7 linked regions of the Xenopus tropicalis genome follow. The protein of the gene in region 6 interacts with the protein of the main gene of each other region in a pairwise test. Links are inferred from orthologs where the notes say so. Each region holds a gene or a part of one and is shown on either strand. Other genes may lie near its edges.

Region 1 (4,098 bases), on a different chromosome or scaffold from region 6:
CAACATCCAAGGGGTTGGTGAGCAGCATGTTGCTCACAAGCTACTGATTGGGGATCACTGTTCTAGAGTTATATCATATGTTTTATGCAATGATTTCTATATTTTAGCTTTCATCTAGGTTTAACATAAGAAAACTTTACCAGGAGGCAGAGTTTTCAAATTTTGTTTTTCTCCATTGGCGTTGTGGGAATCGCTTGCTTCTAATAAACCAAAAGTTTTCCCTTTATACTATCTGTCAGTCCTATATTAATGTATAGACTGAGTTCCCAAGATATAGTTATATAATTATTTTGAGTTAAAAAGGGAGGCAACTACCCTGTGAGTTCAACCCTTTTAATATAGCCCACCATCACATACTCACCACACAGACTTTACACAGAACTTACTGCACCAGCCTACAAGTTCAGCAACATTATAATGATATGATAATGATTCAGGCCTTCAAAGTTGTCACAAATGTTCCCCATCTTGGATTTTGTTAAATGTGTCAGTGACACTGACATGGCCTAAAACTGGCCAGAAATCAGGCAGAAATAATTTTCTGTTGGATTGGGGACCACAACTGCTTGTTGAAGCGGTCCTTGGTCTGACGGCCCATATACCTGCCTTTATAATTGGATTGTTCGGCCTAGGGTTAAACAACCCTATATCAGCAACCATAGGTGGGCATATAAGGAGATGATCTGCTATATCAGCCACCATAGGTGGGCATATAAGGAGATGATCTGCTCGTTTGGGGACCTCACACCATGCATGGCCACCTTTAAGCTTGAGTTCTTGTTAATGATATTTATGAAAAAGTCTTGCGAGTCTTTTTCGGCGATTTCCCGAAATCGCGCCGCCACGTGTGCCATCCCACCGGCGACTTACATTGTCGCCGGTGGGATGGCAGGGGAAGGCAACTCGGGGAGATTAGTCGCCCGCGAACAGGGAGTTTTGTCGCGGGCGACTAACCTCCCCGTGTGTCAGAGCCCTCAAAGGAGAAAAGGCACAGGCACATACAGATAAAACACTATTGTATTCTACAGAACTTATCTGTTATCTGCTATGTAACCTGTGCCTTTTCTCCTTTTTTCCAGCTTGAATGGCTGCCCCCGTGGGTACACAGCAGCTTATTATATAAATGATAGTATTGTAAGGGCTCTGGCACACGGGGAGATTAGTCGCCCGCGACAAATCTCCCTTGTCACGGGCGACTAATCTCCCCGAACTACCATCCCACCAGTGAACATGTAAGTCGCCGGTGGGATGGTACACGCTGCGCAGGCGATTTCGGCAAATCACCGAAGTTGCCTCGCGAGGCATTTACATGTTTGCCGGTGGGATGGCAACTCGGGGAGATTAGTCGCCCGCGAACAGGGAGATTTGTCGCGGGCCACTAATCTCCCCGTGTGCCAGAGCCCTTACTGTAGCAAACACACCAGTTTTACCAGTGCAGGGCAACAGTGCATTATATTTTTATTACTTTAAAGCTCTTTCATTTTGTGGTGTTACTGTTCCTTTAAAATTAAAAGTGGAAAAAGTCATATTGCTTGGTGTAGTACATGACAACAATTAAACTAAAATGTTTTTGGAAGGTATATTTAACAATCATACCTACCACAGCTGACTGGCTTCATTGCTACAATGATATCTTTCTATAAGTATCTACAAAAGTGTAATAAAGTAATTTACTACTAAAAGGGGCAAACAAACGGGAAAGGCTGCAAAGGGAGCCTTGAACTCTAAAAAGCTTTCCTCTGAGCAAATAATGATTCATGTATTATAGTTAAATATTTGTACCTGCATAGGCATTTATAACTCACAAGAACACCAACGGCAAACATTCCTGATTATTTTTGCACAGTGGCAGGAACATGTGGATACACAACAGGGTTTAATTAAAAAGGTCTTGTCCAACTCATACAGTGCAAAATTGGCAGTCACACACAGGATACATTGTAGCAATTTAAAAAGATTTAAAAAAAATGATTATTATTGTGTAACTTGCACAGCTGTAGTCCTTTCTATGTTTGACTTGACATAATGAAAAACAACTTATAATAATTCTGTGTTGTTACAAAACCACACACAAACACTGCAGTTAATTGCAGAAACCTTATATTATGCCGGTAGAAAAAATAACCTGTCCACCAAACAAAACAAATGTGCAGTTGTGTAAGAGATGCTAAATTAATTATGATAAATACAAGGTATCAATATAACATTATCGCCTACATTTTACTTAACAATAAAGCACCTGTTTGTGCTGCTCTGGACTAGCCAAACTTCCCCCCATGCGTCATGTGACTGCTTCTTACACCCTTCTGCAAGTAAGAAAATGCTCAAGGCACGAAATATTACCTTCCGGCTGCTCCCATTGGTTCCAGAGTACACGTAATAGGCAATGCCAAGTAGCCAGAGGAAAGCGAAGCACAGCAGGATTCTAGATTTCCTTCTCATTGTTTCTCTCCTGGGCTCCCTGACCGGTCAGGCGATAGAATAATTCAATAAATAATAACTACACCACGGATATGGTTTTGTCAAGGCTGACGTACTACGATATATACTGGCTCATACTTCCTCCACCTCCATACAGCTGCTCCCCCTTTGCCTGCAGCGTTAATCCCTCCTACTCCCTCCTCTTCTTTGCCACTGACTCGCGGACTGCAACCAGGCCAGTGAACAGGAAACAACCAGCATCGACAGGTCATAGGGCAAAGGTCGAGCGCTACATGAACGACCAATCAGAGATCACCGATGGGCTGCTGGTCGTGGTGGGTGGGATTCGTGAATCTCTATGGTTACAGCACGCCAATGCTCGTCGGCTCTCCCACCCTCCTCTTCGCTCTGACGTACAGACACTTGCAGTGCAGGAAATAGACCTGTAGTTATCCAATCATATATTATGACATTCCAGTTCCGGCTGCTTTCAAGGAATAGGCAGAAACAATAATTGTGCAGTAATGTCGGATGAAAGAACATTTTATAGTAGAAGGTTCGAAAGAGTAATAATGAGAGTGGCGTCGCCTCATTCATTCCATTGGATAAACGCATATCAATTTACATAACCTTTCCAACCTGCGCTGTTAAATAGATGTAACCCCTTTTTGGCACACTCACTTACTTTGGGCTGTATATATGCTTAAAACAGGAAATTGGTCCTACTTGGCAGATAAAAGGTACAGGGACTGGGATTTTAGTGCAGTGCCTCCACCTAGTGGACACTGAGGAGCACACCTCAAGGGGATTTCCACTAGGAAATAATCACACACAGTGCAGCAAATATCAACTTTATATAACATTGTGAAAATAAAATAGCATTAACATGCAATCAGTAATAACCCTGCTTTGGAAACCTGTGTGGTTTTAACAACTACTGCCTCGGTCTCTTTGAGGACACAGTTCCACCTCCACTCCTGGAGGAAATACCCTTTCCCAGTTCAGTCCTGGCAAAGTCCCTTCCCCAGAGCTCTTTCAGTTTCCCAGGTAGCAGTACCTGCCCCAAAGTACCTCTCCCTTTGGAATAGGCAGTTGCTCTCATGTAGCAGGCCCTGAAAAACACCTGTCCTCACACAGGGGGGGACACACAGGAGACTTTCAATACCTTTCCTTTCCTAGTTCACTCCTTGGAATCCACAGGGTTAAGGCATCTGACCACAGTGTAGCACGGGGGTGTCAAACTCAATCACATAAGGGGCCGAAATCTAAAACACAGGCTAAGTCATGGGCCAAATTTTTTATTAATAAACTTAGTAAGATACTAAGAGGTATATTTATCCCAATGTGTAAAAAGTGGAGTAAGACATTACCGGTGATGTTGCTCATAGCAGCCAATAGATGCTTTGCTACTGTTGAAATCTGATTACTGATTGGATGCCTTGGGCAACATTACTGGTAATGCTTCACTCCACTTTTTACACAGCATGATAAATACACCCCTTAGTCTTAGTTACTATGTGAGGAAAATGGAAATTGATCAGGCTGGATGGTCAGGCCCGCGGGCCTTGTGTTTGACATATATGGTGTAGCAGATCAGTCTCAGCTGCTGGCAAAACAACAGGGACTCCCTTTATAAGCTGCTAGGCCCGCCCCTGATGTTTGGCTCCAAACCTAGGC
Region 2 (4,061 bases), on a different chromosome or scaffold from region 6:
GGCAAGGTGAGAATCTTGACTCGGGTGGCAGTTGCCCTGCACCAGGGCTGGCAAAAAAAATTTGCTCCTGGTATCTTTAAGAGCTGAAATTCTGGTTATTAAAGGAATACTGTCATGATTTTTATGGTGTACTTTTTATTTCTAAATTACACTGTTTACATAGCGCATAATCCACTCTTACCAGTTAAAATTTTATTCTTGAACCAACAAATGTTTTGGGGTTTTTTTTTATTGTAATATTGATGTGTAGGCAGCCATCTCAGTGCATTGTGCCGGAGTCTGAGCTTTTAGAAGGAGCCAGTGCTACACATTAGAACTGCTTTCAGGTAACCTATTGTTTCTTTTACTCCCATGTAACTGGAGGAGTCTCAAGCTGGACTTGGATTTCTTACTATTGAGTGTTATTCTGATATCTACTGGGAGCTGCTATCTTGCTACCTTCCCATTGTTCTGATGATCAGCTGCTGGGAGTGGGATGATATCACTCCAAGTTGCAGCTCAGCTGTAAAGTGTGACCGAAGTTTATCAGTGCACAGGTCACATGGCTGTAGCACCCTGGGAAATTAAGAATATGGCTAGCCCCATGTGAAATTTTAAAATTAAATATAAAAAAAAAAATCCTGTATTTTTAAAAAATGGATTACAATGCAGGATTCAGCTGGAGAAGTTTCATTAACATGCATTTTGAAAAAAAAAAACATGGTTCCTCATGACAGCATTTCTTTAAACTACAAATTTGGCTTAATTCTAGTATAGAGTGCGGTTGTGCCAGTTGGACAGCACTGATGTACACAATGCCTATTGATCTGGTTAAGGGAAGAGTACTGCAGCTAATAGCAATGACCATAGCTTTATCTATATCTATACACAGGAATGTTAACTGGCTCCTTTATAAAACTGATCATAGTGTGTGTGAATGTGATAGGGACCCTAGATTGTAAGCTTCAAAAGGGGCAGGGCCTGATGCAAAAGTATATAATATAGTATGTAATCTCTGTAAAGTACAAGTATGGGACCTGTTATACAGAATGCTCGTAGTTTTCCAGATAAGAGATCTTTCCACAATTTAGATTTCCATACCTTAAATCGACTAAAAAAGGTACTTGTATTGATTGTATTGTGTCCAATAAGAATTAATTATATCTTAGTTGGGATGAAGTACAAGGTACTGTTTTATTACTACAGAGAAAAAGGAAATCATTTAAAAAAAAAATAGAATTATTTTCTTATAATGGAGTCTATGGGTGGTGGGCTTCCTGTATTTCAGAACTTTCAAAATAAAAAGATTTCCAAATATCGCATTCCATAAATGTACTGCAAAATAGGTCAGCGCTATATAACTACAGGATAAAAATACTTGGAGTAAGAAGTATGTTCAGATTGTGATGGATTATATTTTCCCTAAATAGGATTGCTAAAAACCTTGTAGCATGGCGCACAAGCCCAAATGCATTATGCTGAATGATCAGGTTATACACAAAATAAATGCCAATGGCTAAGGCTATGATCACATGTAGCTGTTTTTTGGGCTGCATACTGGGTCAGACTGGGTTGTGCAGGGCCCATTAGTTTGCCGCCCCAGGGGCCTCAGCAGTGGCCTCCACACCCCCTCCAGGGGCACCACAGACCAACTCCATCCCTCCCAAGTGTGCTTACATTATACCTCAACACGATCAGGGAAAGGAGATCATGTCTGGGTCGTGGAAGCCCACAGAGTTAGTCCAACTCTGGCTGCATATAAATGCAGATGCAAGTAGCAGCTCAACCACTCAAATCAGCCTGGTCTGGTATCTGTGCTAATAAGCACTGCTTCAGCCTGTGTACAGTCACAGAGCAGATTTCAGTGTGAAAATGCATATTGACACTTTTCTGTGCTGAAATTCACTTTGTGTGCAGGTGAGTGGTTCATCTGTTTCTTGGCCTGCATTTATACACAGACCAAAAACCAGCTTTGTGTAACTGTTGCCTATGGTTCAGTTTCTTATACTTTGTGTGGCTTTCTAGTGTTCAGTCTGTAAATTCACCCTAACCACGCATAACTGAAGCACTCTGCATTAAGTTTTACATATGTATTGTATTGTGTTGTGTCCGTCCATATAAATAGTATAAAATATAATACATGAGGTAGCTCTTATTTCATGCACAATTTGCCTTAGTAGTATGTTATTAAACTCAAAACAAACATCCAAAAAGCTAAAACTTCTTACTGTTTAGGATATTTATGTTAAAGCATAAATAATCTGTCATGTGCTGTTGCTTAGTATTTTTTTCCATTAGTCCCATCCTGTCCCCCACTGTTGTGTGTACGTTGTACTGATTTAGTATCTTGAGTATAAAAAATACAGAATGTCTGTGTGTGTCTTGTAGTGGATATTTAAGAGCAGTCTTTGCTTTTTTTCACAATAGGGCATTAAAATGATTTTTTAAAAACTAAAAATCCCAGCATTTTCTTAAAACAAAGCCCATTTGCCTTACCGATGTCAATAGAAAAAAGTACAGTGCTATGTAAGGGTTAACTTGTCTGTAGTATCTCCCCCCACCATCCTTCCTCTCTCCACCCTCCCCCTTTACTCTTAGCATTATGCATAGCTGGAACCTCACCCTCCACCCCCCTCTCTCCTTCTGTCTGATTCAATCCCTTCTTCCTACACACCCTTCTCTTTCACTCTCTGGGAATTCCTCTCCAATGCAAAGGTTGCCCAAGCTATAAGTCCCTAGTCTTTACATTGTACATCTGTATTTGCTTTAAGGGTCTGAAGGAATTGGGCTCACTTGAAGACGTGTGACGCTTTGGGACTTTCCACAGAGAAACGCTACATATTCTTATGTTTTTGGGTTTAAGTTTAACAAAGGAAACTGCTCCAGACATCAGTTCACTTCTCCTAACATCAAGGCATCCTGCTGGGCTATAGGATGTATTAGAGGGGATTGTGCCTGCTTACTCACAATAAAGGTATGTAACATATCTGACTATATCCTGTGGGTTTCTGCATGTCATTTCATATGTGCATACAAGTACAATGAGATCACTTTTGCGCACTCTCACTTCATATCTTCCACCAACTTGTCCTCTATTCTATTTCTTTGGTGCCACTATAAAGTGTGATTCCCACTCTAGTAAGTATTTTTTGAGAGAAGAACATACTCTGATTTACCTTTTGTTTAAATCCTCACCAATCGCTACAACACAGGTTATGCAGTATATTTTCATACTTTAGTGTTATTTGTGCGATAATATACAGTCTCCTACATACATACATAGACAAACAAATATATAGACTTAACATCCTTCTCACTGTTTAAATCTATTTTACTCGGTGCATAGAAAGTACTGCTGTGTATGCAGCTGCCTATTTTTTTGCTTTTGTCTTTACCTTCCATGAATCTCCTAAACCTTAGCGATGTACATCTCCTCCGTTTTCTGTAGAACTGTCAGTGCATCTCCCTCTTTCCTGTTTGCCCACTCATCTCTTGCAGGCATGTCTGAATTATTTGTATCTAGTTCTCCTATTTTGCTTTTTCTCCCTTTTCAGAATGTATGTTTTACATTTCTTTGTCTGGTTCAGCAGTATGGCTATCTGTCAGTCTAGACAATTCCATCCTCCTCATTTTAATTTGGTTGCTCCAATTGTTCCACAGATCTGTATCTGAAGAGTTTCCCAACTTGAAGACCAGACAATTATAATCTGTAAGATTTTGTTTGTACCATGAGAAAAACAGATGTATAAAGGTTGATACTAAACAGTTTTAAATTTTAATTCAAAATTGTAATGCCTTATACTGAAAATACTTTCAGAACCTTAGTTACATTATCTAGACCCTTATTTTGTATAAAACATTGCAGAATTGTTTTGTCCATACATTTAATTAAGCCCTCTAACAGTGTATTTCAGCCTTTTCTTACCCCCATGCTTATTTCTCTTTTTATTCTGCGTATCCTCTTTCTCTTCCTCTTTCTCTTCCTCTCTAATGAACTCTACACATGCTTCTTTATATGTCATTTGACTTTTTAAGTGTAACTTTCTTTTTTAGCTGTATGAAATTATTTTCCTGTCATTACT
Region 3 (3,949 bases), on a different chromosome or scaffold from region 6:
AAGTCCAACATCTGTTTCAGGAAGAGGTTTGGAATGAACTAGACCAAAGGAGAGAGAAAGTGTCAAGATAAATGTCTTGAGGAAGGTAATGAGTCTTCTCTTACATAGTAAGTTGGGTTGAAAAAAGACACGTCCATCACGTTCAACCATAATGCCTATATATAACCTGCCTAACTGCTAGTTGATCCAGAGGAAGGCAAAAAACCCCATCTGAAGCCTCTCTAATTTGCCCCAGGGGGGAAACAATTCCTTCCTGACTCCAAGATGGCAATCGGACCAGTCCCTGGGGCAACTTGTACTGAGAGCTATCCTTCCTACCCCTGTATTCCCTCACTTGTACTGAGAGCTATCCCCCCTACCCCTGTATTCCCTCACTTGTACTGAGAGCTATCTCCCCTACCCCTGTATTCCCTCACTTGTACTGAGAGCTATCTCCCCTACCCCTGTATTCCCTCACTTGTACTGAGAGCTATCTCCCCTACCCCTGTATTCCCTCACTTGTACTGAGAGCTATCTCCCCTACCCCTGTATTCCCTCACTTGTACTGAGAGCTATCCCCCCTACCCCTGTATTCCCTCACTTGTACTGAGAGCTATCCCCCCTACCCCTGTATTCCCTCACTTGTACTGAGAGCTATCCCCCCTATCCCTGTATTCCCTCACTTGTACTGAGAGCTATCCCCCCTACCCCTGTATTCCCTCACTTGTACTGAGAGCTATCTCCCCTACCCCTGTATTCCCTCACTTGTACTGAGAGCTATCTCCCCTACCCCTGTATTCCCTCACTTGTACTGAGAGCTATCTCCCCTACCCCTGTATTCCCTCACTTGTACTGAGAGCTATCTCCCCTACCCCTGTATTCCCTCACTTGTACTGAGAGCTATCCCCCATACCCCTGTATTCCCTCACTTGTACTGAGAGCTATCCCCCCTACCCCTGTATTCCCTCACTTGTACTGAGAGCTATCTCCCCTACCCCTGTATTCCCTCACTTGTACTGAGAGCTATCCCCCCTACCCCTGTATTCCCTCACTTGTACTGAGAGCTATCCCCCCTACCCCTGTATTCCCTCACTTGTACTGAGAGCTATCCCCCCTACCCCTGTATTCCCTCACTTGTACTGAGAGCTATCCCCCCTACCCCTGTATTCCCTCACTTGTACTGAGAGCTATCTCCCCTACCCCTGTATTCCCTCACTTGCTAAGAAGCCATCCATCCCCTTCTTAAAGCTATATAATGTATCAGCCAAAGGTTCTTAGAGCCCTTGAGTTCCTATCACCCTCTATGTTGACTATAATAATGTCCAAAGATGATTGGGTACTTGGGTTGATTTATACCCAACTGGGAAAGGACCTAGGCAGATATTTTTGGTTTAGACCATCCAATAACCCAATCAGATCTTTGTTGGTCTGTTTATAGAGAATACACCATCGCCCGATATCCAGTTGGTCGTTCCTTACTATCCCCATGGATCAGTGACCCATTCAAGTGGCGGCAAGAAATACTCACAAAGTTTTCCTGAGTTGCAGCCGTGATGGCCGAGGCCACTTCGAAGGCATAAACTACGAACATCAGGATGAGATACTGAAATGAAGAAGGGGTGAAGTATATTGAATCAACAATCATCATCAATCATCATACTCCATTTACTAACACTGGTAACAAGCAGTAACTCATCAACCAGAACCATCTATATATAGGCGGGGCACAATGAAAGTGGCCACAGCCAATAAGAGGCCTTGGAGCTAGATGGATAGAAAGCATTAGAGATTTCCCCCATAGAACATGGGAAATACCAGACAGACAGTAGTAAAGGGGTAATAGCATTGGTATTTACAGGTTACTAGTTCCCCTACTGGGGTAACTTCCAATTGGCCAACTGGTGGTGCATAGATGGAACTGCAGTGACCACCCAGAAGCACAGCTTCTTCTTATTGGAGGAGGTTTCCTTTATAATATTGCCCAATATCCAATTGCCCAATGGGAGAGCGTCCTACAGATCCTCATTGGACCAGAACCCAGTCCTTACCACCATCAGCATTCGCCTGTTCGACTTCATGATGCCAATGATTCCGACGATGGACAAGATGAAGAAGCAGAACCCTGTAAAGATGCCAATCCAGGCTGCGGCAAATATGTCGGCGTTGTTGGTCGCCTCCAGCAGGGGGTAGATGCCACTCTGGTCCGACACAAAGAAGATGCACTCGGCTGTCAGGGCCACGCCACAGAGCTGGAACGACGAGGTGACCATGATTAGAACACGTGCATTCCAATTGGTTAAGAATTGCCCCAGTGCCATAGCCATGGCAACCAAACAGTTGGGCTCATCATTATTTAACGTGCAGTTGACCCATCAAAGCTGTTCTTCAAGTCATCTTGAGACTTTTTGAAACCGTGGCCCCAAATTATGTTAAACTCTTGGACACCCTATAATTAGACCTTGATCTATAATTAGACCATGTGATCCATTCCTATTTAACCCCCAGTGCACTAAAACTTACTGGGTTTGTGCCATTCTATGGGCCATAGAGGGCTTGGTGGAACCATGAATGATACTTGACCAGGATCTACATCCAGGGGTGCACAAGTAACATACAAAAGGAGGATAAAATAACTAGTAGGGCTAGTTAACTAGGGGCTTCTGGCCAAACTATGAGCCTCTAGTCCTGACCAAGGCTCCGGTTAGGTGCAAAGTGGTTAATAATATCGACTACTTACCCCAAGGACCACATTGCCGAAGATGATGATGGACTGGTAACACCGAACGCCTGAGTCCTCCTTCATTTTCTTACGTATAATAAACCTGTACAATTAAAAAAAAGTTGATTGGAAGTTGATTTGAGAAAGGGCGTGGCCTAAAGCAGCAGGAAACCATGTGACATTGCAGTCCAGTAGAATCTCTGGACCCCAGAAGAAGGACTAAGGGTTTCTATATACACCCGGGCCTAGAGGATTGGAATGCAACTCGCTCACATTTCATTCAGTCCAACATTCTAATCTCGGGCATACTCGTAACCAATAGCGAGAACAAGTTTTTCTTCTCCCGGTCAGTTTGTTTAAAGGGGAAACGAACAATATCTTAGATCTAAAAACATCCCAAACTTCTCATGCATGCAGAGCTGGGTGGGGCGTGGGGGGGGGGGGGGGGGTATAGAGAATTCCACCCTGTAATATAAAATCCAACACACAGAGGAGAGCAGAGTTACTGAGCAGTGATTGTGTATGGCAGCTCCAACCGGCCAAAATCTCTATGCCCAGGCCTGAACTGGGATTCAACAGGGGCCAAACAGCCCCAATAAATAGTGAGTGTCTATGGGATCTTACAGCAGTCCCCCTGGCATTTGCCAGAACCCACAGACTGGCAGTCCTGGCACGCTCTACGGAAAGCACCAGCAGCCAAATGCCCCTCGTGCTATTTGTCTATGGCTTCCTCAGGTTGTATATAGTGTTCCTGAGCATCACCCCTTCCCCCAGGGGGTGCAAACCCGCAGCCATGGGCATCAGCATTCACTGCTAAACAGATGCATTTAATTCCCACAGAGAGGAGGTGTGGCCTCAGTGTGCCAGATGCTTCAATGAAACCTGTTGCACCCAATACTTTTAATCCCAAATCCCCCCCTAACTGGCCTTCAGGCTGGGCCCCCTTAGCCCATAACAAGGTTACAGATATATAGAAACATTGGGGTAACAGTCACCCCGCTATAGTTCCAGGGGTACCCAGGGCACAAATAAGCACTCACCCCAAATCCCCCCTAACTGGCCTTCAGGCTGGGCCCCCTTAGCCCATAACAAGGTTACAGATATATAGAAACATTGGGGTAACAGTCACCCTGCTATAGTTCCAGGGGTACCCAGGGCACAAATAAGCACTCACCCCAAATCCCCCCTAACTGGCCTTCAGGCTGGGCCCCCTTAGCCCATAACAAGGTTACAGATATATAGAAACATTGG
Region 4 (3,500 bases), on a different chromosome or scaffold from region 6:
CAAATGGAGCCCTGGCTGGAGTCAAACCTAGGATGGCAGTGCTGAGGGCCATAGGTTTGATTCCAGCCAGGTCACAATCTGTAGGTATATTTTCCCTGTAATTGTACAGCTTTACTTTGTGTATTCTGGTTTTTGCACACCCCACAGGCCAGTTAACTGGTTAATAAACTTGACCACAAACTGTGTGAATGTGATAGGGCGGTAGATTGTAAACTCCACTCTGGAATATGTAGAATATGATAAAAACAGAGCAAATATATTTAAGGTCCCCACAGCTGATATGGTGCATTCAACTGGCAGGCGTATGTGTTTTGGTGGCTGGACTGCCTTTGTATCAGTTGCAACTTGGTATATTTATCATTTATATTTTATAATTACAGCACCAAGTAGATAGTGATGTGCCGGTGGGTGCAATGCGTTACCATGTAACAAAGTATTATTTCCTTTTTGTGGTATGAAAGGAGCCGATAGGGTGGCGGAATTAGCTGAGCAGTCAGCCATCAAATTGGGAAGATTTTCTTTTTGAAGGTCTTAACATTGTGATGTACATTGTTATAACCTATATGGTGTTAGGGGTGATGTGGGAGGGCACAACTAGGGGGCCACAAGTCTCTGCCTTATTCTAGGTAATAAATATATAAATGAGGCCAATATTGAACTCTGTGGGTGATGGCAATTACAGTTGCGAGCACCCACTGACTGCCATGTTGGTAACATGCTGAGAGCTGCAGTTGAACAATAAGTGGAGGGCCGATTGGACCCCCATTAAGATCTACATATGCCTACACAGTGTAATAATATTGGGAAATTAATTGTAATTGGTAACTAACAGGTTAAGCTTGGGAGCCAAATGATTAGATCCCTCTGATATGTCCCTCCCCCAGGTGCTAAAATTGGGCAAAGATCTGATTGATTGTATTGTCCCTTAATCTTCCATTGTATTGGCCAGCTCCAGATGCTTGTATTGGGCTCAGCACAGACCTGACCCTTCTCCATGCACATTGTGCTGCTTGCTCTGTAGTGTGCCAGGGGGCGGGACTATCCCTGTTGTACAGGATGTGATTTATGTTCAGCTGTGACTGACAGGTGCATCCAAGTTTCCTTGCAATGCAACTTTGGGCAACTTCAGGAAACCGTAGCGACACATATGCCATCCCGCTGGCGATTTACATTCTTGCCGATGGGATGGCATTTCCGGGAGAATAGTCGCCCGCAGTAGCTAAGATTTATCGTGGCCGACTAACTTCCCCATGTGGCACTGCCCTTAGGGTGAAGACACAGAGCTACTTAGTAGCAGCTACTTGTTACAGCTGAAAATACCCTGCATAGACAATACTGAGAATTGCTAAAACACACGTAGAGACAATTATCAGTACAGGTATAGGACCCATTATCCAGAATGCTCGGGACCAAGGGTATTCCGGATAAGGGGTCTTTCCGTAATTTGGATCTCAATACCTTAAGTCTAATAAAATCAATCAAAAATCAATCAATAAAACATTAATTAAACCCATTAGGATTGTTTTGCATCCAATAAGGATTATTTATATCTTAGTTGGAATCAATTACAAGGTTCTGTTTTATTTCTACATAGAAAAAGGAAATCAGTTTTAAAATTCTGAATTATTTGATTAAAATGGAGTCTATGGGAGACGGGCTTTCCGTAATTCGGAGCTTTCTGGATAACGGGTTTCCGGATAAGGGGTCTGATACCTGTATATGATCAGCATTGTGTGTTTTAGAAGCCATGACAAGTAGCTGCTAATAGTAGCTCTGTGTGTCTTCACCCTAAAGCTCACTTTCTGTGCACCAGAAGAAGCCATGGCCCCCGACACAGAGAGTAGAAAACACACTCTGCATGGAGACTTGTCCCATAAAAGAGAAGGAAAGGTACAAACTAAGTAAGCTTTATCAGAAATGTCTATGGAAATACAGCCATAAGCACTCACAGTAATGCTGCACTGAGTCCTCTATCAAAAGAAACACAGGATTTCTTGTCTCCTTTTTTGTAAACATGTTCTTAGGTATCAGACTTCCTCTCCTTTAGGGCTCCTTCAGGTTTGGGGCAACGAGTCTGCGTAGCTCTCTCCCCTTCCTTTTTTTGCTCCCCCTCCCATAAGAATTCACTCCCCCTTCCATAAGAATGTGTGATCTGAGCTACCAGCAGCTAGAACTGCATCAGGAAGTTTTGGAGACCAAGTTAAATGGCAGCTGCAATCTTAAAAAACGGAGGGAACTTCTAGGGATGATTACTCAGAATAAATATAGCATAATTGATATTAATTTGATATTAATTGGTAGGTGGTGACCCCAGTTTATTAAAGCCTTAGGTAGGGCACAGGCAGAAGGGAAGCATTGCCAAAGTGCCAGACAAATTGCATCACGTCCATTTGCCCCACAGGGGAAAACTGCCAGCAAGCGCTTGATCCAGCCTTACCTTGAACCTCTCGGACACTCCTTCACTGATACTGATAGTAAATTCAGCAATCTTGGGGGCTCGGAATTTGCCTTTCTTATGATCCCGCTCGTATTCAGTCTTTGTTTTCACAACCACCTTAGAAAATAAAAACATAAACCAGTGTGAGTAATAAGGCACAAATAGGGAGATTATATACTAAAAAGAAACTCTACTTCTGGACTGCATTGGAACAGCGCCATCTAGTGACAAGATCCCTGTTACTGTATAACTCAGTATAGGGCGAGCCTTCCTTTCGGCAGTACAAGAAACTGCTCGTTTACTAACATGGCACATTGTAATCCCTCACACAAACATGGCCCTGGGGCAGCAGCAGCCGTTGCCTGTTATCTGTGTATCTGTGGCGCTGGGATACCGGCAGTTGCACTACTTGTAGCCATAAGCTGCTGATGGGTTAATGGTGCCCGAGATACCAGCTGCAGCATGTGCTGGGCATTGGGGATTCAACCAAACGGTCTATGGGCCTTGCTGGAAAATGAATGGGGCCCTTAAAGTCAAGTGACTGTGAAGCACTGAAGAACTGAGATCAAGCATTTTTCAGTATTGTGATAAAATTAGAATATGCAAGTTGGGGTACAATAAGGCAAGATGGCGACAATATATGGGGACTGAACCTAGGGGACAGTGTGTATAATAAGGCAATATGTTGTCAAGATAAGAGCTCTAACTGTATGGTAGTGTGTATTGTAAGGTACGTTGGCATTGGGAAAAGGAATGTAAGAGTGGGATAGTGTGTATAACAGTGATCCCCAACCAGTGGCTCAGGGGCAACATGTTGCTCACCAACCCCTTGGGTGTTGCTCTCAGTGCCCCCAAACCAGGGAGTTATTTTTGAATTCCTGACTTGGGGGCAAGTTTTGGTTGGATAAAAAAATGTATTTACTACCAAATAAAGCCCCTGTAAGCTGATAGGGTGCATAGAGGCACCTAATAGCCAATCACAGCCCTTATTTCACACCTCCATGAACCTTTATGGTGCTTGTGTTGCTCTCCAAGTCTTTTTACATTTGACTGTGGCTCCCGA
Region 5 (3,962 bases), on a different chromosome or scaffold from region 6:
TGCGTGTATGGCAAGTCGGTGAGTCGACCGATATCGCAGGAACCTGCTGATATCGGTCGACTCGCCAATCGGGCGGGTTAAAAGATTTTGATCAGGCGCCATAGAAGGCGCCTGAGCAAAATCTGCTTTTAGGGCTGAATCTATTGTTTCTACCTCCTTATCTGCCTGTTTCAGCACTGAAGGTTAGTGTGGCCACCTTTAGGCTTAAATGAAAAGCATTATGGGTAAAGCAACACATTGCATTCCAGCATAACTACCTGCTTTATTTCTCTTGGAATCTTAAAATAAAAAAGCAACTTGCAAAAGTGCTTAGAACAGCACACTTTCATCAATTTTACAGTCACTTATTTTAAATGTTTACTTATCCTTTATCTAGTTTTAAAGAAGAAGGAAAGGTAAAAACTCAGTTTCCTCTGCCAGAGACACACAGCTCTTTGCTTTCTGCTCTTTCCTGCTCCCCCCTCCCTCAAGAAAGCTAAGAACTCACTCCCCCCCCTTAGGAATGTGGATCTGAGCCAATCAGCAGGAGGCTGACTTATAGTCTTACTAACTGAGCATGTACACTTGGTCTGGGTGTCTGTGCAGGAGTGAGGCATTATGGGAACTTTCTTTACACAGCTCAGCATTTTTTCTTCCTGTTTGGCTTCTGATCATTGCAACAGGAGAAATATGGGGAGACTTAGGGGCACTATTGAGAGAACTGAAGGTATGCCTGCAGCTTGAGATTAACTCTTTATTAGCCTTTCCTTCTCCTTTAAGGGAGCAGGAAAAACAGATCACGTTTAAGGTAATATTTACGCAGAAATATGACATACAAAAGGGCTCGCAAACTTTCAAGCACCACTGTATGTAGTTATCTACAATTCATTTACCAATAAGGTGATAGAGATTGTCAGAACATACAAGTTAAAAGAGAAGATTTGAATGGTAGGGGCTGCACTGCTATCTACTGGCTGTAATCATGTATAAAAAAAAACCCTAAAGGTGGCCATACACGCTCTAAGATCCTGTTATCCCCACCTACGGGTGGGCAATATCGGGCTAATTTGAACGATGGGTATAGGCGTCTGTCAGGTCGGGTATCACTTCAACGAGCCAATGCAGTCCCCAGTCCGACTAAAAAAAAATCAAACCTGCCCAATCGAGATCTGGGTGATTTCAGGCCAGATGTCGGTTGGGCAGGCCTGTCGGTAGTGCCCATACACGGGCCAATAAGCTGCCGAATCGGTGTAATGGGCCGATATTGGCAGCTAGAATCTGCCGTGTATGGCCACCTTAAGATCTCTCTGCATCTTGCAGATTTGCACTTCTTTAATAATTTCCCCAAATAGCCTAGCATTGCAAATAAACATTTCTTTTCCTGGGCACCAACCGTGGCTGGACTACAGCTGAAGTCTGCCAGGGGGGGGGATGATGGGTGTTACAATGAAATAACAGTGGGGGAAGTACAGCTCTAATACAAGACTTTCTTTGTATTTTACTTACCTCATCTGATAGTGGCTGGCTACTCTCTCTCGATGCTGAAAGTCACTTCCATCTGTACCAGTTGCCCGAGGGCCAGCACGGGAGGCCATTATTGATCTTACAACCAGGAAACAATAATTATTAATCTCTAATTAATTATCTGCAAACTAAAGAATAACTTAGTTACAATCTACAACACACTGAAACAAAAGAACAGTGTGTGCACAGACTTATATATCGTCTGAGTTCCCCAGGTGAAAAACTAACAGCTGAGCGCCTAGTTCCCCTTTACTTATCAAATGTTTAAAATAACATTACAGTGGTATTGGTAGGTGCTCCTTTGCTTACAGGAACAGTAAAAAAAATTAAATAAAGCTTTTCACTTTTGTGACTGAAATGCTGTGGGTGGTGTACATATTAAGCCGGTAACCCCCCCCCCCCCCCCCCCCCCCCAAATATAACCCCCTACGGCTAAATCTCAGAGCTGCATCTGGTTAATGATTACCTGGGCAATGGCTCTGTTCTGGTTTATAACTAATCTACAAATGAGGGTTCAAGCACAATACATAATCATACAGATTAGTTTGCTGGTCATACAAAGAACGATATTGGCTTCTAAATGGTGAATATAGATTCGTTCTTGTTGGCCTGGGCACAAAATGAAGCTCATTTGTTGCTGGCCAGGGATGTGCCTGTGGATCTTTTGGACTAACAACAAGGGCTGAAAAAAAAAAAAAAAAAGATATTTGGTGCAGGATTTGCAATCATGACAGGTTCCTATCAATAGCGGGATCATGTCAGTATAATGAAGGTGGCCTTGGGGTGGGGGCATAAGGCTTAGAGTAGTTTATTGACACCTTTAGCGTTTAGCGAGCAGCCCCCACTATCGCCTTACAGCCTGCAGCTGTTGATGGATCAGAGAGTTGTAGTTCAACAACACTTGAAGTTCCCTAGTGTCAGTCCTAACACCCTGCCCAAAGCTCAAAGGGGATGTAATTCCAAATATAAAATGTCACATAATATAAAAAGAAGCCATCACAGCCTGCAGCAGGCACCTATGGGAGGTGGGGGATTTCATATGGTCCTGTACCTGGTTTAAAGGGGGTGAGGTGGCAACCCTTGGAGGCTAATGTACCTGGTAGATGGCTATAGCCCACTCAGGTAACATGCCCCTACAGCTAGCCCCCTGCCCTATGACATGACTGGCTTTCCAAAATAGTGCACTAAATACGCATTCCCCCAGCACACACAGAACAAACAAACTATAAAGACATATTATAACACGCACAATAGCAAGGAGCCCACTTACCACGCTCAATGAACCCGGCGCTTCGGCAACATCCGCCCAGTCAGCGCTCCTTTCCGACTACTTCCGTCCGGCTCCCGGCGCCATCTTGCTCCACTCGGAAGTAGAATCACCATGTATTGATTGATGTTGAGAAGACAGTGAAGTAGCTGTATGGCTGTAAATTAAAACCACATTGTCGCTCTCTGCCTTAAGAATAAAAAAAATCAGTGCAAGGCTTCTTATTTAAGCTACTAAATATAATGGGTGATGTCAAAATATAAAATATCTGCAGAAATTACCAGCTGCTGTTTGATTTTTTGTTTTATAGAAATTAGCTTTCATTATCGCTTTACAATGCAGGGCAGCCGTTTGTTGCCATGGAGCCCTGCATTCTGTGTAATTTAAGCCTTTTTGCTAATGGGGAGGGTGGGCAAGTTTGGGACAGGTTCCTGCATATTGTGCAAACAGCTGGGAATGTGTCTCCCTGGCCTCAGACTGCAGTGCATAGGTCCCCTGTGAGTAGGAGGCAGGGCAGTAATGACTCCCACTGAACAGCAATGACCTGTGCTCCTGTTTGCTGGGACAGCTGAAGGAATGGCCACTCATTGGCACAGGGCATTGTGGGTAGGAAGGAGTGACCTGCAGTGAAAGAGAGTCATAAACATCTCCCAAGTATATACTGTCATAGTATGGGTCAAGCCTGCTGACTGGGAGACTGGATCCCAGGGAACTGAGTGCAACATATAACTCCTTACAGACATATATACAGGGTAAGTATGAAGCTCTTTTGTGTGTGTTTTGCTTATAATGTGTCAAAAAGACTATTATGGCAGATGTCACATTGCCTGTGCTTATCTAGCTGGCTGGGAGTAAATCAGTAAATGGAAGGCAGGGTAAAGACCCTCTAAATTGGATTATATTGTATGTGTATGTTTGTCTGCATGGCACTCAATAAGAGCTAATGGCAGTAATCACCATACTTAGCTAAAATATATCTTCAATGGTTAGAGTATATTTTCTACATTGAGATTCCTGTGGGACTCTGCTTGTAGTTAGGCTTTGGTAATATAGAGACTGTTAGAGTTAAGCTGGTTGGATGTCCCAGCATTATAATATACACAGCGTTTAAAGTGTCATTGGCTCAGCATAGATGATTGTTTTTTTCACCCACCTATAATAATATATAAAACCATACACCTGGAGGAGGGGG
Region 6 (3,500 bases):
ACCTGTGTGTATTATTATTGAGTTAGAGAGGGTCCAGAGAAGGGCAACTAAGCTGGTAAAGGGTATGGAAAGTCTCAGTTATGAAGAAAGACTGGCCAAGTTGGGTCTGTTTACACTGGAGAAGAGGCGCTTAAGAGGTGACATGATAACTATGTATAAATATATAAGAGGATCATATAATAACCTTTCTAATGTTTTATTTACCAGTAGGTCCTTCCAACGAACACGAGGGCACCCACTCCGTTTAGAAGAAGGGAGGTTCCATTTAAATATTCGGAAAGGATTTTTTACAGTGAGAGCTGTGAAGTTGTGGAATTCCCTCCCCAAATCAGTCGTGCTGGCTGATACATTATATAGCTTTAAGAAAGGGGTGGATGGATTCTTAGCAAGTGAGGGAATACAGGGTTATGGGAGATAGCTCTTAGTACAAGTTGATCCAGGGACTGGTCCGATTGCCATTATGGAGTCAGGAAGGAATTTTTTCCCCTCTGCGGCAAATTAGAGAGGCTTCAGATGGGGTTTTGCCTTCCTCTAGATCAACTAGTAGTTAGGCAGGTTATATATAGGCATTATGGTTGAACTTGATGGACGTATGTCTTTTTTCAACCCAACTTACTATGTTACTATGTATAACAGACAGCCTTGGGTTAGAATACAGAGTACTGACCCAGCAGTATAGGGGTAGTGATGGGTATGTTTACAGCCATAAGGCTGATGTATCTCCAGTTTTGTAGTGTACCTGTAGCCTAATTTTCATATGGATTGAAATAGAGGATATATAATGTACAAAGGAAAATCTAAATTAGAAATATATTAATCACAAGTGCTTTTTTTACTTACCACATGGTAAAGATGAGCCTTTCTCGGATTTTATATTTTCCACTGTTTCAGTAATATCACTGCATATATAGAAATTATTAAAATGGACAGTAAAATCTTAGGGTCCTATTTACACTGTATGTAAAAAGAAATATAAGACTGCACATCATGTCACTATACTGTAAAACTGCAATATTTAAAGGAGAAGGAAAGGTGAAAACTAAGTAAGCTTTATCAGAAAGGTCTATGTAAATACAGCCATAAGCACTCAGAGTCCTCTATCAAAAAAAGCACAGGATTTGTCTCCTTTTTTGTAAAGATGTTCTTCAGTATCAGACTTCCTCTCTCAGAAAAAGTCTGTGGAACGCTCTCCTCTGTCCCTTTTCCTGCTTCCCCCTCCCATAAGAATTCACTCCCCCTCCCATCAGAATGTGTGATCTATGCTATCAGAAGCAGAAAGCTACCAAGACCTAAAATGGCAACTGCTATCTTAAACAAATGGAGGGAGCTTCTAGGGCTGTTTACTCAGGTATGGTAAAGCTTTTTGCAAAATAAATATAGCGTTCTATCTTGCACTATTGTGACTAATCTATTAGCAAAATGACTTTCCTTCACCTTTAATAGCTTAAAAAGATGTCAAGCACCTGCACAGGTCTGGACTGTGGTTCAAAATAGGCCATGGCATTTTAAGTACACAGAGGCCCAAACAGTCCCACAAAGGTTTAAAAAACAGTGGTTGTCTATGGTGCCTTACAGAAGCGCCTCTGGCATTTACCGGAATGCAATGATTGTCAGTCCAGCAGGCCTAGCATTGGATCAAAAATAGGCCCTGGCATTTCAAGTACACAGGGGCCAAAACAGCCACCCACCAGCCCAATAGTCTATGGCATCTTACAGCTGCCCCTCTGGATCCAGAATCCACAGATTGCCAGGGCGCCAGGCAGGTACTTCCTGCTTACCCCTAGTCCGAGCTCCCTTGTCATTGCCTCTGCTGCTTCTCATTGCATGGCTCACGCCCCCCTGCAACACCATATATAATGCATGCGCAGATGCAAGGAGGGGGGAAGGGTGCAGGGCCAAGGGGCCGACCAATTTGTCTAGGGCCTGGTTGGCTTAGGCCGCCCCTAATACGCAATGCCATTTGTATGCTGCAAAGTTGTAAAGGTTTCTCGGATTGGACTCTGCAGCAAGTACACGTGCATTCTCTTGAACGTAAATAAAGCTTCACCATCTGGCAGGTTTAGTAAAGGAGGAATAATGGTCTGGGGTTCTTTGCCATGGCTTTCAACTTTCACAATTTGACTGGCCTGTACAGAGCCCTGACCTTAACCCAACTGAACCCTGTGGGATGAATTGGTCTGCCAACCAACAGGGACCAAAGATTATATGGCCAAATTTATACTTACATTCTCTAAACGCATGAGCCGACATACCTGTCACTGCAGCAGCTGGCAATCCACTCACTCATGACTTTACGGAAGGTTGGCAAATCTAGGGACCTTCCCTGCTCTTCAGGATCCAGCATCTTACAAAGGTGCTGGAGTCGGTCTCCATCACAAGGTTGATCTGTTACGCTCTTCAAGTAGTCAATGATCTGAAACACTGTTACTTCTCCTAGAGGCAAATTTAGTCATATTATGGTAGTTTAGCAGTGGAATTTAACAGCAAAACTGCAGATTTTTGTTACCTATGCACAATGTGGGCAGTTCCTTAGTAAACACAATAATATGTTTAGCTGCAGTAAGGCGGACATCAGTCTGAATGACAATGCAAGTTAAAGAGCTTAACGACTCGGTAGTAGCGTTTTATAAAAACTAGTGAATGAGCCGCAATTCCACTGATTTTCTTATGAGTAGTAACTGTCCTTACTGCTGCTTAAAAACATAATTGACATAATAATTCTGCCCCGCTGTTTTCCTTTAGTTGGGAAGTATTACACCCTATTATATTACTCATGAGGCGCTCTTTTACATCAGCAAGAGTTTCTTACCTCTCCCCTCTGTATCACATGCTTCAAATGCGGTATCCAGCAACTGCTCTTCTGATGTAGAATTAGGAACACCATTAAGACAGCCCTGAGTAGCATCTGAGACGTAAAGGCACAGCAAATTATTTCTATACATACACGTACATTTAACGTTTTTAATGGGTTTTAAAGATGTTTGTAAATGTATTTCAAACTGAAAGCAGCATTTGTTTCTCCCTTTCCACTCTGATGCATGAAACAATGTAGTCAGAAGTGTAGAGAATATAAAAAGCCATCCACAAGTGGGGGTACAGCCACTTTAATTTCCATTAAAAGCACATACATATCTAATAATACATTAAAAACATACTTTTGCTGTCTGATAGCTGCCCTTCTTCTGATTCAGGATTCCAGCAGGTTCCTTGCAGTTTATACATTATACAAGCCCTTTGCTGAAAGCTTAGGGTATATTAGTTCTTCCTCTTGAGGCAGGACCTCAAAGAAATCTGCAGATGTATTCCTGGAGAGTGCTAGCTCTGAAAGAGCAAACATTCCTATGAAATTACAAGTTAAAATAAAACTATACCCCCAGAATGTATACTTAACCAACAGAGAGTTTATATTATGTTAAGTGGCCTAATAAACAATCTCGTCAAACTGGAATATATACTGTATATCAGTAAATACTGCCCTTTTACATCCCTTGAGCCGCCAT
Region 7 (4,116 bases), on a different chromosome or scaffold from region 6:
GTGCTTGCACTTTGGAAGTCAATGGAGGTAGATTTTGTGTGATTTAGGGGTGTGTTTACTAAGAATGGAGATAAACATCACCGGTGATGTTGCCTGTAGCAACCAATTAGGTCTTTCTTTTGATTTCTAGCTTGTAGGTGACTGTACAAATCTTATTGCTTATTGGTTGCTATGAGCAACATCACCGGAGATATTTATCTCCAATCTTAGTAAACACACCCCTTGGTACCATGTTTGGGCTTATTAATGATCACAAAACTGTGGTTCCAAATGAAGCCACGTATTACCCACTGCCCAGTGTCTGGAAGGACAGGGCTGCCTTACACCTGCCATCACTGCAGTCTCTATCAGCTGGATAGGTATCAGACCTTGGGCCCAAGTAATTGTAAATGAGGATACTTGGTGATCCAGCATTTGCATTGGCAGCATAGTAAATGGCCCTCATGTGTATGTAACACTTTGTAGATTGTAAGCTCTTTTGGGCAGGGCTCTCTTCACCTCTTGTATCAGTTACTGATTGCTTTATATGTTACTCTGTATGTCCATGTATGTAACTCACTTATTGTACAGCGCTGCGGAATATGTTGGCGCTTTATAAATGTTAATGTAATGTATATGTAACACTGGGCTAAAGGCACATGGGGTGTTCTGACCACTGCTGCCATCAAGTGGAAAACACTGGGAGTCAAAATGCTTTTATCTGCCTGTCAGCACTTCCCATGTTTATCTAGAAAGGGCTAGGGACCCCCACATTACAAGAGGGCCAGTGCCCACATCTCACTTGAAAGTGGGGAAAGGAATTGTATAATCCAGGGACATAACATTTTCACCCCTTCAGATGTTGTATAACTACAACTCCCTACACCCCGTATAAACTTCCAGTTCAATAGGTTATGGTTTTTTATTAGAAAGCTGAGTAAAGAAGGTAACAATTATGCATTTAATATATGGCTTCTCCGGTTGTTTAATAGCAACAACCCCCCGGCCGTAGCCTGTCACACTATCACACCAACATCTGGAACGCAAGTTAAAAGATGCTGATTCTGACATCAGTCACCATGGCGATAGGAATGAGCGCCCCACTATGGCTGCCCTATGCCCTGCCTGTACAATGCCTTTCGTTCTTTGCCTTCCTACGATGCCTTTTTGTTAATATTAGCTCCCTAGTACAACTAGTCAAATAAAATACTGTATCTGAAACCGTGGCTTTCTAGTCTTCTCGTTTATTTAACTGATTTAAGTCGACAGGCAGCATGGACACCCTAACGCTCGGCGGGGTCCTGAAAGAACCCGGAAGTGATGACGTGTGGAAGGGACACGGTTCTGTGGGGTGCCGGGATAAGCAACAGATTGCTGGCGGATGTGTAATCATTTACCGATCCTTTGGGGTGAAATTCACAGAAACTGCTGCCATGGAGGCGCTTTATCACCAGAGTAACAAGTGAGTCGGGAAGCAGCCCTGTCCCATCTCCTTCAGCATAGGACCAGACATGCCACCTCATCCTTTTGCTACAGAACAGGTTTAGGTGGTGTTCAAAAAAATATACCAGCTCCTAATTAATAATATACTTAGCAGCTTCTAATTCACTAATATGCAACTAAGGCATTCATTTGGTAGGGGGTGGGGTCCAAAGAAACCAAAGTATTATATACTGCCCCCCTGTTTGTATTGCCCCCCCATGTAAGCAGGGCACACACTGTGGCACTATATGACTAAATACAATATGGTGTGCCCACTGTGGCACTATATGACTAAATACAATATGGTGTGCCCACTGTGGCACTATATGACTAAATACAATATGGTGTGCCCACTGTGGCACTATATGACTAAATACAATATGGTGTGCCCACTGTGGCGCTATATGACTAAATACAATATGGTGTGCCCACTGTGGCGCTATATGACTAAATACAATAGGGTGTGCCCACTGTGGCACTATATGACTAAATACAATAGGGTGTGCCCACTGTGGCGCTATATGACTAAATACAATATGGTGTGCCCACTGTGGCGCTATATGACTAAATACAATATGGTGTGCCCACTGTGGCGCTATATGACTAAATACAATAGGGTGTGCCCACTGTGGCACTATATGACTAAATACAATAGGGTGTGCCCACTGTGGCGCTATATGACTAAATACAATATGGTGTGCCCACTGTGGCGCTATATGACTAAATACAATATGGTGTGCCCACTGTGGCGCTATATGACTAAATACAATATGGTGTGCCCACTGTGGCGCTATATGACTAAATACAATAGGGTGTGCCCACTGTGGCACTATATGACTAAATACAATATGGTGTGCCCACTGTGGCACTATATGACTAAATACAATATGGTGTGCCCACTGTGGCGCTATATGACTAAATACAATATGGTGTGCCCACTGTGGCGCTATATGACTAAATACAATATGGTGTGCCCACTGTGGCGCTATATGACTAAATACAATATGGTGTGCCCACTGTGGCGCTATATGACTAAATACAATATGGTGTGCCCACTGTGGCGCTATATGACTAAATACAATATGGTGTGCCCACTGTGGCGCTATATGACTAAATACAATATGGTGTGCCCACTGTGGCGCTATATGACTAAATACAATATGGTGTGCCCACTGTGGCGCTATATGACTAAATACAATATGGTGTGCCCACTGTGGCGCTATATGACTAAATACAATATGGTGTGCCCACTGTGGCGCTATATGACTAAATACAATATGGTGTGCCCACTGTGGCGCTATATGACTAAATACAATATGGTGTGCCCACTGTGGCGCTATATGACTAAATACAATATGGTGTGCCCACTGTGGCGCTATATGACTAAATACAATATGGTGTGCCCACTGTGGCGCTATATGACTAAATACAATATGGTGTGCCCACTGTGGCGCTATATGACTAAATACAATAGGGTGTGCCCACTGTGGCACTATATGACTAAATACAATAGGGTGTGCCCACTGTGGCACTATATGACTAAATACAATAGGGTGTGCCCACTGTGGCACTATATGACTAAATACAATAGGGTGTGCCCACTGTGGCACTATATGACTAAATACAATAGGGTGTGCCCACTGTGGCACTATATGACTAAATACAATAGGGTGTGCCCACTGTGGCACTATATGACTAAATACAATATGGTGTGCCCACTGTGGCACTATATGACTAAATACAATATGGTGTGCCCACTGTGGCACTATATGACTAAATACAATATGGTGTGCCCACTGTGGCACTATATGACTAAATACAATAGGGTGTGCCCACTGTGGCACTATATGACTAAATACAATAGGGTGTGCCCACTGTGGCACTATATGACTAAATACAATAGGGTGTGCCCACTGTGGCACTATATGACTAAATACAATAGGGTGTGCCCACTGTGGCACTATATGACTAAATACAATAGGGTGTGCCCACTGTGGCACTATATGACTAAATACAATAGGGTGTGCCCACTGTGGCACTATATGACTAAATACAATAGGGTGTGCCCACTGTGGCACTATATGACTAAATACAATATGGTGTGCCCACTGTGGCACTATATGACTAAATACAATATGGTGTGCCCACTGTGGCACTATATGACTAAATACAATATGATTATTATTTATAGTGATGTGGCATCTGATCTGGGCTCCCAACACAGGGCCCCTTGGGCATAGATACAAATACAAAGGACAGATAATATTTCATAACAATTAACACTTTTAGTAAATAGACCATGTATTCTAAGCTGCACCCCCCACCTGTCGGTGAACTGTAGTTCTGAGCAGAGACAGCTAAAGCCTGTTATGGAGTCCATTTTTGGAGTTTTCAAGGAACAGTAACACTAAAAAATGAAAGAGCTTTAACGTAATAAAAATATAATGCATTGTTGCCCTGCACTGGTAAAACTGGTGTGTTTGCTACACTAACCCTACTATAGTTTATATAAATACCCTGTTGTGTAGCCCCGGGGGCAGCCATTCCTGCACTGGTACAGCTGGGGTGTTTGCTACAGAAACCCTACTATAGTTTATATAATACCCTGCTGTGTAGCCCCGGGGGCAGCCATTCCTGCACTGGTACAGCTGGGGT

The links.
Region 1: the proteins of ccdc155l (region 6) and galnt2 interact in binary tests that used the Homo sapiens proteins (3 or more experiments, as listed by UniProt). The two-hybrid records come from large-scale screens. The link is inferred for Xenopus tropicalis from reciprocal best matches to the Homo sapiens genes KASH5 and GALNT2.
Region 2: the proteins of ccdc155l (region 6) and ppp1r18 interact in binary tests that used the Homo sapiens proteins (3 or more experiments, as listed by UniProt). The two-hybrid records come from large-scale screens. The link is inferred for Xenopus tropicalis from reciprocal best matches to the Homo sapiens genes KASH5 and PPP1R18.
Region 3: the proteins of ccdc155l (region 6) and upk1b interact in binary tests that used the Homo sapiens proteins (3 or more experiments, as listed by UniProt). The two-hybrid records come from large-scale screens. The link is inferred for Xenopus tropicalis from reciprocal best matches to the Homo sapiens genes KASH5 and UPK1B.
Region 4: the proteins of ccdc155l (region 6) and nsg1 interact in binary tests that used the Homo sapiens proteins (3 or more experiments, as listed by UniProt). The two-hybrid records come from large-scale screens. The link is inferred for Xenopus tropicalis from reciprocal best matches to the Homo sapiens genes KASH5 and NSG1.
Region 5: the proteins of ccdc155l (region 6) and jagn1 interact in binary tests that used the Homo sapiens proteins (3 or more experiments, as listed by UniProt). The two-hybrid records come from large-scale screens. The link is inferred for Xenopus tropicalis from reciprocal best matches to the Homo sapiens genes KASH5 and JAGN1.
Region 7: the proteins of ccdc155l (region 6) and gosr2 interact in binary tests that used the Homo sapiens proteins (3 or more experiments, as listed by UniProt). The two-hybrid records come from large-scale screens. The link is inferred for Xenopus tropicalis from reciprocal best matches to the Homo sapiens genes KASH5 and GOSR2.

What each region holds. Positions count from the first base shown.
Region 1 is NC_030681.2:52,926,217-52,930,314, forward strand, and holds the start of galnt2 (polypeptide N-acetylgalactosaminyltransferase 2), read right to left. Parts: upstream 2,801-4,098; 5' UTR 2,443-2,800; coding exon 2,344-2,442; intron 2,299-2,343; exon of another isoform or gene 2,279-2,298; coding exon of another isoform or gene 2,240-2,278; intron 1-2,239. UniProt on the Homo sapiens protein: Catalyzes the initial reaction in O-linked oligosaccharide biosynthesis, the transfer of an N-acetyl-D-galactosamine residue to a serine or threonine residue on the protein receptor.
Region 2 is NC_030684.2:75,522,123-75,526,183, reverse strand, and holds the start of ppp1r18 (phostensin), read left to right. Parts: upstream 1-1,261; 5' UTR 1,262-2,953; intron 2,954-2,995; exon of another isoform or gene 2,996-3,117; intron 3,118-3,639; exon of another isoform or gene 3,640-3,688; intron 3,689-4,061.
Region 3 is NC_030678.2:6,430,303-6,434,251, reverse strand, and holds the start of upk1b (uroplakin-1b), read right to left. Parts: upstream 2,801-3,949; 5' UTR 2,783-2,800; coding exon 2,717-2,782; intron 2,229-2,716; coding exon 2,028-2,228; intron 1,583-2,027; coding exon 1,508-1,582; intron 39-1,507; coding exon 1-38. UniProt on the Homo sapiens protein: Component of the asymmetric unit membrane (AUM); a highly specialized biomembrane elaborated by terminally differentiated urothelial cells.
Region 4 is NC_030677.2:26,293,138-26,296,637, forward strand, and holds part of nsg1 (neuron-specific protein family member 1), read right to left. Parts: intron 2,555-3,500; coding exon 2,438-2,554; intron 1-2,437.
Region 5 is NC_030680.2:138,224,173-138,228,134, reverse strand, and holds the start of jagn1 (protein jagunal homolog 1), read right to left. Parts: upstream 2,801-3,962; 5' UTR 2,774-2,800; intron 2,186-2,773; exon of another isoform or gene 1,970-2,185; intron 1,632-1,969; exon of another isoform or gene 1,582-1,631; 5' UTR 1,575-1,581; coding exon 1,486-1,574; intron 1-1,485. UniProt on the Homo sapiens protein: Endoplasmic reticulum transmembrane protein involved in vesicle-mediated transport, which is required for neutrophil function.
Region 6 is NC_030683.2:112,407,440-112,410,939, reverse strand, and holds part of ccdc155l (lymphoid-restricted membrane protein), read right to left. Parts: intron 3,322-3,500; 5' UTR 3,223-3,321; coding exon 3,156-3,222; intron 2,906-3,155; coding exon 2,810-2,905; intron 2,434-2,809; coding exon 2,253-2,433; intron 900-2,252; coding exon 841-899; intron 1-840. UniProt on the Homo sapiens protein: As a component of the LINC (LInker of Nucleoskeleton and Cytoskeleton) complex, involved in the connection between the nuclear lamina and the cytoskeleton.
Region 7 is NC_030686.2:15,435,323-15,439,438, reverse strand, and holds the start of gosr2 (Golgi SNAP receptor complex member 2), read left to right. Parts: upstream 1-1,316; 5' UTR 1,317-1,412; coding exon 1,413-1,441; intron 1,442-4,116. UniProt on the Homo sapiens protein: Involved in transport of proteins from the cis/medial-Golgi to the trans-Golgi network.